Linked DNA regions of Macaca fascicularis. The protein of the gene in region 2 interacts with the protein of the main gene of each other region in a biochemical or structural test. Links are inferred from orthologs where the notes say so. Each region holds a gene or a part of one and is shown on either strand. Other genes may lie near its edges. The genes, in order: CHEK2, PML and MAPK7.

The links.
Region 1: the proteins of PML (region 2) and CHEK2 form a complex in vitro, tested with the Homo sapiens proteins (2 studies listed by BioGRID, with this or other methods). The link is inferred for Macaca fascicularis from reciprocal best matches to the Homo sapiens genes PML and CHEK2.
Region 3: the proteins of PML (region 2) and MAPK7 form a complex in vitro, tested with the Homo sapiens proteins (2 studies listed by BioGRID and IntAct, with this or other methods). The link is inferred for Macaca fascicularis from reciprocal best matches to the Homo sapiens genes PML and MAPK7.

The regions. Positions count from the first base shown.
Region 1 is NC_088384.1:22,926,284-22,930,011, reverse strand, and holds the start of CHEK2 (serine/threonine-protein kinase Chk2), read right to left. Parts: upstream 2,808-3,728; 5' UTR 2,757-2,807; exon of another isoform or gene 2,332-2,756; intron 1-2,331. Other genes in the region: iron-sulfur cluster co-chaperone protein HscB, read left to right, coding at 3,069-3,304. UniProt on the Homo sapiens protein: Serine/threonine-protein kinase which is required for checkpoint-mediated cell cycle arrest, activation of DNA repair and apoptosis in response to the presence of DNA double-strand breaks.
Region 2 is NC_088381.1:50,917,927-50,921,672, reverse strand, and holds the start of PML (protein PML), read right to left. Parts: upstream 2,538-3,746; 5' UTR 2,508-2,537; coding exon 2,379-2,507; intron 1-2,378.
Region 3 is NC_088390.1:19,123,274-19,127,019, reverse strand, and holds the start of MAPK7 (mitogen-activated protein kinase 7), read right to left. Parts: upstream 2,297-3,746; 5' UTR 2,021-2,296; coding exon 1,984-2,020; intron 1,774-1,983; exon of another isoform or gene 1,633-1,773; intron 1,549-1,632; exon of another isoform or gene 1,405-1,548; intron 1,237-1,404; exon of another isoform or gene 1,141-1,236; coding exon 904-1,140; intron 267-903; coding exon 101-266; intron 1-100. UniProt on the Homo sapiens protein: Plays a role in various cellular processes such as proliferation, differentiation and cell survival. The upstream activator of MAPK7 is the MAPK kinase MAP2K5.

The DNA.
Region 1 (3,728 bases), on a different chromosome or scaffold from region 2:
AGGGTGGATCATCTGAGGTCAGGACTTCAAGACCAGCCTGGCCAACATGGCGAAACCACATCTCTACTAAAAATACAAAAAATTAGCTGGGCGTGGTGGCTCGTGCCTGTAGTCCCAGCTACTTTGGAGGCTGAGACATGAGAATCACTTGAATCCAGGAAACGGAGACGGAGATTGCAGTGAGCCGAGATCGCGCCACTGCACTCCAGGCTAGGTGACAGAGTGAGACTCTGTCTCAAAAAAAAGAAATGGGCAAAAGATCCGAACAGACATTTCTCAAAAGAAGACATACAAATGGCCAACGGGTATATAAAAAAATGCTCAACATCACTGATCATTGGAGAAATAACAAATCAAAACTACAGTGAGGCCTGGGCACAGTATCTCATGCCTGTAATCCCAGAACTTTGGGAGGCGGAGGCGGGCAGATCACTTGAGGTCAGGAGTTTGAGACCAGCCTGGCCAACATGGTGAAACCCTGTCTCCACTAAAAATATGAAAATTAGCTGGGCATGGTGGCAGGTGTCTATAATCCCAGCTACTTGGGAGGCTGAGGCAGGAGAATCGCTTGAACCTGGGAGGCAGAGAATGCAGTGAGTCAAAATCGCACCACTGCATTCCAGCCTAGGCTACAGAGTAAGACTCTGTCTCAAACAAACAAACAAACAAACAAACAAACCTACAATGAGATACCATCTCACCCCAGTTAAAATGGTTTGAATAAAAGACAGGCAATAACAGATGCTGGGAAGAATGTGGAGAAAGGGGAACTGTACAGAGTGCTCTTGACATAAGTAATTTTATCTTAGAAAAAGGCTCTTGTATTTTAAAAGGCATTATGCCAATAGGGACCAGATGTTTGTCTAATTAATAAAGACTGTACTGGCCAGGCACAGTGGTTCACGCCTGTAATCCCAGCACTTTGGGAGGCCAAGGCAGACGGATCACAAAGTCAGGAGATCAAGACCATCCTGGCCATCATGGTGAAACCCCGACTCTACTAAAAATACAAAACTTAGCTGGGCGTGGTGTCACGTGCCTGTAATCCCAGCTACTTGGGAGGCTGAGGCAGGAGAATCGCTTGAACCAGGGAGTCGGAAGTTGCAGTGATCCGAGATCACGCCACTGCACTCTAGCCTGCGAGAGACAAAGCGAGACTCTGTCTCAAAAAAAAAAACAAAAAAAGACGGTACTAAACCAGATAAGGACATAAACATGTACACGCTTTTGTTATTAGTCCTTACCAGAAAATTTTGTGGTCATAAGACCAGGACTTTATTAGGTCAGAATGGCTGTCCTAACAGACACCATCTTGCTGTCACTCACGATTAACACCCAGCATCTGCCACCAAAGGCTCATCCACATCAAAAAACTCTTCCTTACAAGACACTGACACCCCAGATCAAGCCAAAACACTCTCTTTGTCCACATTGCTCTCCTTGGACTGGTTTGATAACCGCTTTCCCTATCCCCTTTTCTCTGAATGTTAAATGTTACTTTAATGTAAGATTTTTAACCTATAACATTTATATATTAAATAAATATACTATTGTGTATAATTTACAATGCTGACTGACTTGTGGAATGGCTTCAGCCTGTGTGCCCACGGTTCTGACTACCAAGTAAACAGGTAGTACTACAGAAAATTGCTTCCTTGGGAACTCCATGTAGCTCGTGGCTTTTACAATTAAAATAAAACATCAATAAGTCTGATCTTGTGGAAAAACACAAATGTTCACGGACCTAGTTATGTCTGACCTTGCCCTGTTCACATACACCATTGGTGGGAATGCAAATTAGTATAGCCACTAATCACAAAAGTATTGTGATTCCTCAAAAAACTGAAATTAGGCTGGGTGCAGTGGCTCACACCTGTAATCCCAGCACTTTGGGAGGCCAAGGCGGGTGGATCACCTGAGGTCAGGAGTTCAAGACCAGCCTGGCCAACATGGTAAAACCCCATCTCTACTAAAAATACTAGCCGGGCATGGTGGCCGGCACCTATAATCCTAGATACTTAGGAGGCTGAGGCAGGAGAACCGCTTGAACCCAGGAGGCAGAAGTTGCAGTGAGCCCAGATCGCGCCACTGCACTCCAGCCTGGCAACAGAGAGAGACTCCGTCTCAAAAAAAAAAAAAAAAGGTACATATGTGGTACTCATACATGTATACTTTATATCAAAAATAAATAATTTTTTTTAAAAAGTCCAGAAGGCTTTCAAGTGAAACACAATCTTTTTTTTCAAGTAGAAAACCTAAGTCCGAAGGAGGACTGATTCCCTCCTACCCACTCCTGGCCACCCTATCCCATACACTTACTTAGGGACTTACTTAGGGACCCGCAGAACATCCTCCTACACAGCTCAGTGCGTTTCCAGTTCCTGCAGCGCCCAGTAGCTAAGACTGGCCTCTCTATAAGTATTTTAGAGATTGAATCTAAAGAATGGCAATGACTACTAACATCTATAGAACTTTTTACAAAGTAACTTCGCTCTGATATTGAAGAACACAACTCTGTTCCTTCTTATCCTGTCCGTTCAGGCCTGTTTCAGCTTGTAAGTAATACGGGAAGTGAACTTCACCTCGAGGATGATCTACTAAAAAGGAAGAGAGTCGCCCACACACTCCCCCTTCAGTACAAAAATACAGACAAAGCGAAGCTCAGGAGACTCCGCTCGCACGAAACGCTGAAGATGGGATTCGAACCACCAAACACCCAACAGAAGTTCCCAATATGACTCACCGCGTGAGCCCACCTGGAGCCGCACACTCTCCACAGCCTCAGCCTGCAGTGGCGCTAAACCTGCAGATACAAACTCCACCCTCAGCCAATCAAAACCCTCTCCCCTGCCGCCGGACCAATGAGGAGCAGCAGATGTGGCCGTCAGGCATCGCCTCAATGCTTCCTGGGAGTTGTAGTTTAGAAGGCAGAGCGGAACTTAGAACTCGGGTTCCCCTCGGGTGATCCCGCCCCCTCGACTCCCCAGCCAATCAGCAGCATTAGTCTGGTTGGACGCTCTCTTTGCTTTTCCCCACGGGTGACCACGGCTAGCTAGGCCGCCGGCGAGATGTGGCGGGGGAGAGTCGGGGCTTTGCTCCGGGTGTGGGGGTTTTGGCCAACAGGGGTTCCCAGAAGGAGACTGCTAAGCTGCGATGCTGCGTCGCAGGCGGAAAGCAATTCTCCCCACTGTTGGAACTGCGGCGGCCCATGGGGCCCCGGGCGGGAGGACAGGTTCTTCTGCCCACAGTGCAGAGCGCTGCAGGCACCTGACCCCACTCGAGACTACTTCAGCCTTATGGACTGGTACGAGCGACTGTTTCGGGAAACGGGCCCGGGCGAGAGAGACGTCGGGGTCTGGCCTGCGAGAGGGGAGGACGGATCTGGCTTGCGGAAGAGAAGGCGGGACCGATAGGGGGGCGGAGGTCTAGAGAGCAGGCGTGAGAGAAGTGTCTTGATTTCTCAGGAGGAAATTGAGAGGCGGGGACTGAGGGAAGCAGCGTTGAGGTGTGGAGAAGGGAGACGAACGGGACTGGAGGGGCGGGCGCTGAAGTTAGAGGAAATAGGGGGGCCGAGGCTAGAGGGGAGGGAGATTTGAGGGGCGGTACCTACGGGAAAGGGAAGGAGAAGTCGAGGGGCGGAGCTTGAGGAAGGGGTACTTGAGGGGCAGGGCCCGGGAGACTGGAAGAGTTGGTTTGATGTATTTATGAAAGGACTGCAGAAGTGTAGT
Region 2 (3,746 bases):
AAGGTCAAATACTGTATGATTCTGAGGCAGGAGAATAGGGTCTGGAGGCAGGGAACCTAAGGCCGATTCCCTCTGACTTCCTAGAACTAAATCCAAAGGAAAACCCGAACTCTCCACGCCCAAGTAACAAAAGGACCAGAGGCTACTCTCTTTGCAAAACACCCCATTTCCTGCCTGGCAGATGGAAAATTGAAAGCACCTCTGATTGGTTGCTTTCTACAACCAATGGGGTGAACACCAAGTGGCCAATGGGAAACCTCTAGGGCATATTTGGAACCCAGAAGATTCTGTAACTTGGGCCCTTGAGCCCTGCTCCAACCCATCCCACCCTGTGGAGTGTACTTTCATTTTCCATAAATCTCTGCTTTCATTGCTTCATTCTTTCCTTGCTTTGCTGTGCATTTTGTCCAATTCTTTGTTCAAAACGCCAAGAACCTGAACAACTTGCGGTCAAGACCGTCTACTGGTAACAATTCCACTTATATGAAATATCTAGAATAAGTAAGCTCGTAGGGACAGAAGGTAGATTAGAAGTTACCAAGGGCTAGGGGAAGGAGAAAATGAGGAGCTATTGCTTTACTGAGACTCAGGACACACCACTTCAAAATATGACTGCAGGAGGCCAGAATATGCCACCCTTGAAATATACTTTGTTGGCATATTTTAAGCTGGTTATTCTGAGAAACTGCTGATACAGGAATAGCTCTGAAAAGCTCTCCTTTTGTAAAACAGAAAGGCATTTGCATCCCAAAGAAAATCTACATTAGTAAAATGGTCTATATTAAAAGAGGGCTGCTCCAGACAACTCTTATTATCTAAGAACTTTTTATCTACATAGCAAGACAACAGCTCCTCTCCTCACCCTCCCATAACTTGTGTCATCACCACCACCCAGAAGCTCCAAGCTCTTTTCTGTGGATCAGGATGTTATATAGGCTTCAATCATCTGACCTTTCTTTGAGTCTCATACTTTGTGGGACTCCTGAGTATACATATGTAATTAAATATGGGTTTTCCCCCTGTTAATCTATTTTATGACTATTTAATTCATAGCCCAGCCAAGGAAACTAGAAGGGTGGAGGGAAGCCATCTTTCCCTCCCCTATGGTTTAAAGGGTACAGAGTTTCTGGAGCAATTAAAAAGTTCTGAAAATAGATGGTGGTGATGGTTACACAATATTGTGAATCTACTTAATGCCACTGAACGTTACACTTAGAAATGGTTAACATAGGAGCTTATCCGTTACGTATATTTTACCACAATTTTTAAAATACAAAAGCAGTCCGGGCATGGTGGCTGACGCCTGTAATCCCAGCACTTTGGGAGGCCGAGTTGGGCAGATCACGAGGTCAGAAGTTAGAGACCAATCTGGCCAACATAGTGAAACCCCATCTCTACTAAAAATATAAAAATCAGCCAGGTATAGTGGTGTGGCCTGTAATCCCAGCTACTCAGAAGGCTGAGGCAGGAGAATCACGTCAACCCGGGAGGAGGAGGTTGCAGCGAGCAGAGATCGCACCATTGCACTCCAGCCTGGGCGACAGTGCAAGACTCCATCTCAAAAACAAACAGATAAACAAACAAACAAAAAACAAAACAAAACAAACAACAAAAAACCAAAGTGCTTAATACAGTACCTGGCACATTTGAAGTGCTCATAAATGTTAGCTAGTGTTGTTAAGTAATGTTATTCTTAGTTGTAATAATGCTTATAAAAGTTACTGTAATACAGTGTCCTCTGTACTTTCATGAAGGGGAGCAAAAGGGCCTGGAAGACAGCAGAACAAGAAACCCAAGTAGTTCCTTTGGGGGTGGAGGTGGGAGGTAGGCAGGACAGGTGTGGCAAGAGAAGGGTTTGTTAGGGAGGCTTCCTTAAGCAGAAACCACATGAGCTGGGAGGCCTTGGCAAAGATACCTCTTCAGTCTGAGCCACAGTTTCTCACCTCGGATCTGGGAAGTTGGTTTTAGTTTTGCTGTGCCTGGGACATGCTCCTGGCTCCAGGCCAGCGCAACAGGGCTACCACTTCCATCCTCCCTAATCTGTGGTCCTGCATCTGAGGCAGGGTTGACCAGGGCTCGAGGGTGGGCGGAAGGGCCCAGGCCCGGAGGCCACTGACCCTTCTCACCTTGCCCAACTGCTCCGTGGAGAAACCGCAGCCCAGCGAGGCCGCCCCAACTCCTCCGGGTCCTCTTTTCTACTCTATCCTACCCTCCCATGCCCCAGCCAAGAAGGTCAGGACCCTGGTGTGTGGTCTTCCCGCTTTGTGTCACTCTCTAGCGTACTTGACCAAATCCTCCGTTAGACCCTCTCTTCCCCACTCTCCCCACCACAGCAAACCAACAAAGCCTAACCCCATCATCCCCTAACCCAATAGTACCTCTGTAGGGCTGTGGCTGGGGCTGGGCTGACGGCCTTCCGAGGGGGTCTCGGGGGGAGGCATGGTGGGCGCGTGGGGCCGGGCGGGGTCCTGCTGGGGCCTCGGAGATCGGGCGGGTGCAGGCTCCATGGACCTCAGCTTAGTTTCGATTCTCGGTTTAGATCTTGGAGGGCGTGAAAAGAAACTAAAGGGGAGGCGTGAGCCAGTTGGCTGAGCCCCTTGAGCTGTCCGAAAGGGGAGGTGCCAGCTCAGGGCCCGCCTCTGGAGAGGAAGTGAGACACAAACTGGGGGCGGTTCTAGGGGCAGAGAGGCCGACTGTGGGTTTTAAAGACACGCCCAGAGCGGGGAGGAAGGAGAGGCGGGGAGCCGCAGACCTACTGCTGGCTTACGGTAAAGCGGGAGAGGCAGGGCAGAGCTGCAGAGGGGCAGCCCCGCCCCCGGGTTTGATCCATTCATCAGTTCACACTGGCACTGCTTCGTGCCACCTCCTGCCGGGAGCTGGGCGCACAAAGATGAGCCACACGCAGCCCCTGCTTTTTAAGAGCCCCAGATGTAATGGAAGAGCAAGCTTGCAAACGGAGACATTCTGGAAAGGAGAGCCCTCAGCTGGGACCTGAAAAAGCAGTGGGAATTCACCAGGGATTCAGGGCTGTAGGTGGTGGGGTCCAGGGGACACTGGAAACACGAAAGATAGCTCTTGCAAAAGGCATGGAAGTTTGAAACACGAAAGCCTGTTTGGGAACTAGTTTTGGCCGTTTTCAGATTTAAGAGGGAATTCATGAGAAATGATGCCCAAGAAGTGTGCTGGGACAAGATCCTAACTAAGGAGATTGGACCAGTTCTGGGAGTGATGGGAAGTTGGTGAAGGATCTGGAACCAGGAAACAACATGATCAGCTGTGCATGATGGGACGGTCACTCTAACAACCTAGGGGCACATACCCTTGTCTAGGACAGTGGCTGTGGGATGCAGAGGAGGGTCTTGAGTCAGAGATCCTGGGAAGCCAGTGACTGGAGGTGAGGGAGCAGGGTGACGCCTTGAGTGACAGCTGGAAAGGCTGGTGGATGTGAGGTGGTGGGGGCAGGAGGGAGGGGGAGAGCTGGAGAGCGGGTATGAAGAGGGAGAGGGGAGAGCCAGGTAGGTCTTCACCAGTGGAAAAGCATGCCAGACTCCCAGCTGGTGAGGGGGAAAGGGCACAGCTCCAGGTGACCTCACTGGGCCAGTGCCCCTGGCTTCAAACTTAAACCATCGCAACCACTGTGCTGGCTCCTGTGTACCCATTCTGTACTCTGTTCCAACTTAGAAACAGACTAGAAAGGATGATGATAGGGCCTGGCTCTTGTAAACCTTATAGTATGCGGGCTGGAG
Region 3 (3,746 bases), on a different chromosome or scaffold from region 2:
CTTCAGATTAGATTCAGCTGCCCTTCCAGAACTTCAGCAATATGAGTGCAGCCTTCAGAAAAGTCCCAAGTCTGGCTCCCTCTCCCATCCCGCTTCTTACACAGATTTGAATTCGCCATAGGGCACAGTGGGCCTCAGGATGTCCTTGATGGCGATGATGTTGTCGTGCTTAAAGTGCTTGAGGATCTTCAGCTCCCTGAGGGTTCGCTTGGCATTGGTCACCACATCAAAAGCATTAGGGATCTTCTTGATGGCCACCTGCTGGCCTGAGGAGCAGGGAACAGGGACACACCAGAGGATACCTTGGAGAAACTGCAGAGTCGACCCAGCCCCTATCAACACCTCCCTTCTAGGATGCAAATGACAACAGCTACCAAGTACTGGGTACCTACTATGTGCCAAGCATGTTACCTACATTATTAAATGTGACCTTCACAACTCCCCTACAGGGCAGGTCCCAATAGGTCAATGTTAAAGAGAAGGAAATATGGCTTAGTAACTTGTTGGAGGTTGCACGGCTGCCCAGTGGTGGAGTTCAGTCTCTAATGCCTACACCCTCTGCATCTCAGACCTCACCCATCCCACCACCAGTTCCTTGTGCCAGTGTCTGGCTCCAGAACACATTTGTCTCTTAGACACGAAGGAATGGCTCTCCATTCTGGTCTAACTGGGACTGTCATTTTTCTAAGGAGGAAGTAGGCAGGCAGGATGGCAAAACCCCCAGGCCAGAGTTTCAGAGAACCGAGCCTCCCCGGAGCCTGGCAGGCAGAGGGTCCTGGTCAGCGTGTGTTGACTGGAGCCAGAACTCGCACCCCGCTTTCCTTCCCAGCTGTCTGGGACGGGCCGGTTTCCCACTCCCTGCGACGCTGCCACATCTGGGAGGCGACGGCTCAGGAAGCTCACCGGTGAGGCGGCGGCGGGCGGAGGACACCACTCCGTAGGCCCCGTTGCCTATGGTCTCGATGATCTCGTACTCGTCGCCCACGTCAAAGGTCACATCGAAGGAGCGGGCTTTAAGCAGGGCCAGGTTCTTGGCCGCTACAGAGGCAGCGGTGTGGGCGGGTTCGGCCTTCACGGGCCCGGGGGGTTCCGCAGAGCCGTCCTCGCCGTCTTCCTCCTTCAGGGGCTCGGCCATGGTGTCTGCGTGGAGACTCGGGTGAGGAGGGGACCGCCTCCCGTGGGCCTCAGCGTCCCCTCTGCGGGCTGGGGAGCAGGACCAGGGAACTTCCCAGTTCCCTAAACCGACAAGGGCCAGAAGCGCGCGGTTGGTTCGGGGAAAACACGCTACCCCAGGGGTCGGGGCCCAGCAGGGGCCAGGCCAGGGTCGGGGGATGGGGAGGCGAGGCGCGGGCCAGGAAGAAAGGGAGGGGCGGGGCACCTGGGTTTCCCCCGGGCCGCACTCACCCCCGCGCCTCCTCAAGGCTTTCAGAGGTCCCGAGGCTCACCGGCCTCCCGTCCCCAGCGCGGGAGTCTCCGAGGGTGGCTCACTTACTTATTCAAGGGCCGCGGCCACCACCTCAGCGTCGTGAGCTGCCCTGTCCGTCCCCCTCCGCCCCGCCTCCCAACACCACGCTCCCTCCAGCTCCTGGCCAATCGCTGAGCTATTTCTGCGAAGGGTCCTGCCCCTTCTACCTGCTGCGCCCAATCCTAGCCCACCGGCCGAGGAAGCCACGCCTGGCGCGCGCCGCTGTCCAGCTAGCCGGCGGGAGCCGCCCAAAGGGTGCCCGGCACTTCACAGGGGTGTGCTCCCCGCCCGGCACCGCCTTCAAACGCATGCGCACTGGCAGTCGGGCGCCAAGTGAATGGAAGGCAACGCCCATGCACGTAGCGCGCGCGTCCCCATCTAGCGCTCGACCTCGTCCGGCCAATCACAGCTAGTCCCATGAGCTCGGGCAACTGTCCGGACTGAGATGCCCGGGACTGGGACTGTTATCTTGGCTACTGGGTCCCGAAGTCCCCCTCCGCCCCGGGAATTGTGCCCACCATTTTCTCGGTCCCAGGAGCTCTGGGAATGTGTCATCCCCGGTAGAGGGTGCCCGTCACGGCCAACCACAGAGATCCCGGTCCTCCAGGATTCTAGAGCGGCCGGCCGAACCCTCCACTGACTTCCGGTGGCTGAGTCTCTCCGCAGCTTCCGGCCAAGTGGGACCGCACCTGGGGGTTTCCTGGCCTGCAGGTGTGTTACCTCCGCTCGTTTGTTTGTCCCGCGATTCCCGTGCTTTGGGCTGCAGCGGAGTTAACCGAGGCGGCCGCCCGGCCTCTGTCCCTCTGCGGAGCCCGCTGGTAGGCGGAGCCCTCGCTGGAACCGAGCTGCGCCGACCCACCCCAAAATCCGATGGTTGATTCGTTCATTCATGTAGCAAATGTTTCTGGAGCACCGCCCCTCTAAGGCTCAGTGCCAGGAGGCGAAGATGGATATGGTGGATAGTGTGAGCTGGAAGGAAAGGTTTTTTAAAGGGAACGGGGTAGGGCTGAAAGAAGTGAAGAATTTTGGTTTCACTCCTAGGCGGCTTATAGAAAAAAGCAATGCAAATACATATTCGTACCCACCTTCCCTTTCGTGTACAAAATGTAACATATTCTCTTTTCCTGAAGATCATTCCGTATCAATAACTGGAGGGGTCCCTCACTTTTAAACAACTTTTAATAACATACCATATATAGTGTACAATTGAGTGTTTTTTGGTGTATTCACAGTTGAGCAGCCATCAGCACTACCTAATTTTAGGTAGAGTGGTTTATGGAACATTTTCATCGCCCCTAAAAGAAACTTATGTGAACCAAGTATCTGAGACAAGTCTCAAGTCAATTTAGAAAGTTTATTTTAGCAAGGTTAAGGACATGGTGGTGACATAGCCTCCAGAAGTCCTACAACATGTGCCCAAGATGGGGCACAGCCAGCCTTTATACATTTTAGGAAGACATAATACATAAATCAATACGTGCAAGATTGACATTGATTTTATGTGCTTATTGGCCATTTGTCTCCTTTGGGGAAATGTCTGTTCAATGTCTATTCTGAAAGGGCAGGACAACTGGAAGAGGAGGGGCTTCCAAGTCACAGGTAGATTTAAACATATCCTGATTGGCAGTTGGTTACAAGAGTTATTATCTATAGAAAGGAATATCTGGATTATGATAAGGGGTTGTGGAGACCTAGGGTTTTTTGGGTTTTTTAAGTATATTATTATTATTTTGAGAATGAGTCTTGCTCTGTTGCCCAGGCTGGAGTGCAGTGGAATGATCTTGGCTTGCTGCAACCTCCCCCTCCTGGATTCAAGCAATTCTTCTGCCTCAGCCTCCAGAGCAGCTGGGATTACAGGCGTGAGCCACCAAGCCCAGCTCTTTTTTTTTTTTTTTTTTTTGTATTTTAGTAGAGACGGGGTTTTACCATGTTGGCCAGGATGGTCTTGAACTCCTCACCTCAAGTGATCCACTGGCCTCCCAAAGTGCTAGGATTACAGGCGTGAGCCACTGCGCCCGGCCGGGAGACCTACGTTTTATTATGCAGTTGAAGCCTACCAGTAGCCGGCTATAGAGAGAATAGACATGTTTCTTATCAGACTTATGGTCTGTGTTGATGTTAATGTTGGAGGGGTATAATGAGGCATGTCCAACTCCCATCTCCCACTGTGGCCTGAACTGGTCTTTCAGGTTAAATTTTAGGGTGTGCTGGCCAAGGAGGGAGTCCATTTAGATGGTTGCAAAGGGCATTCTAATTTTATTTTTGGTTTATACCCATTAAC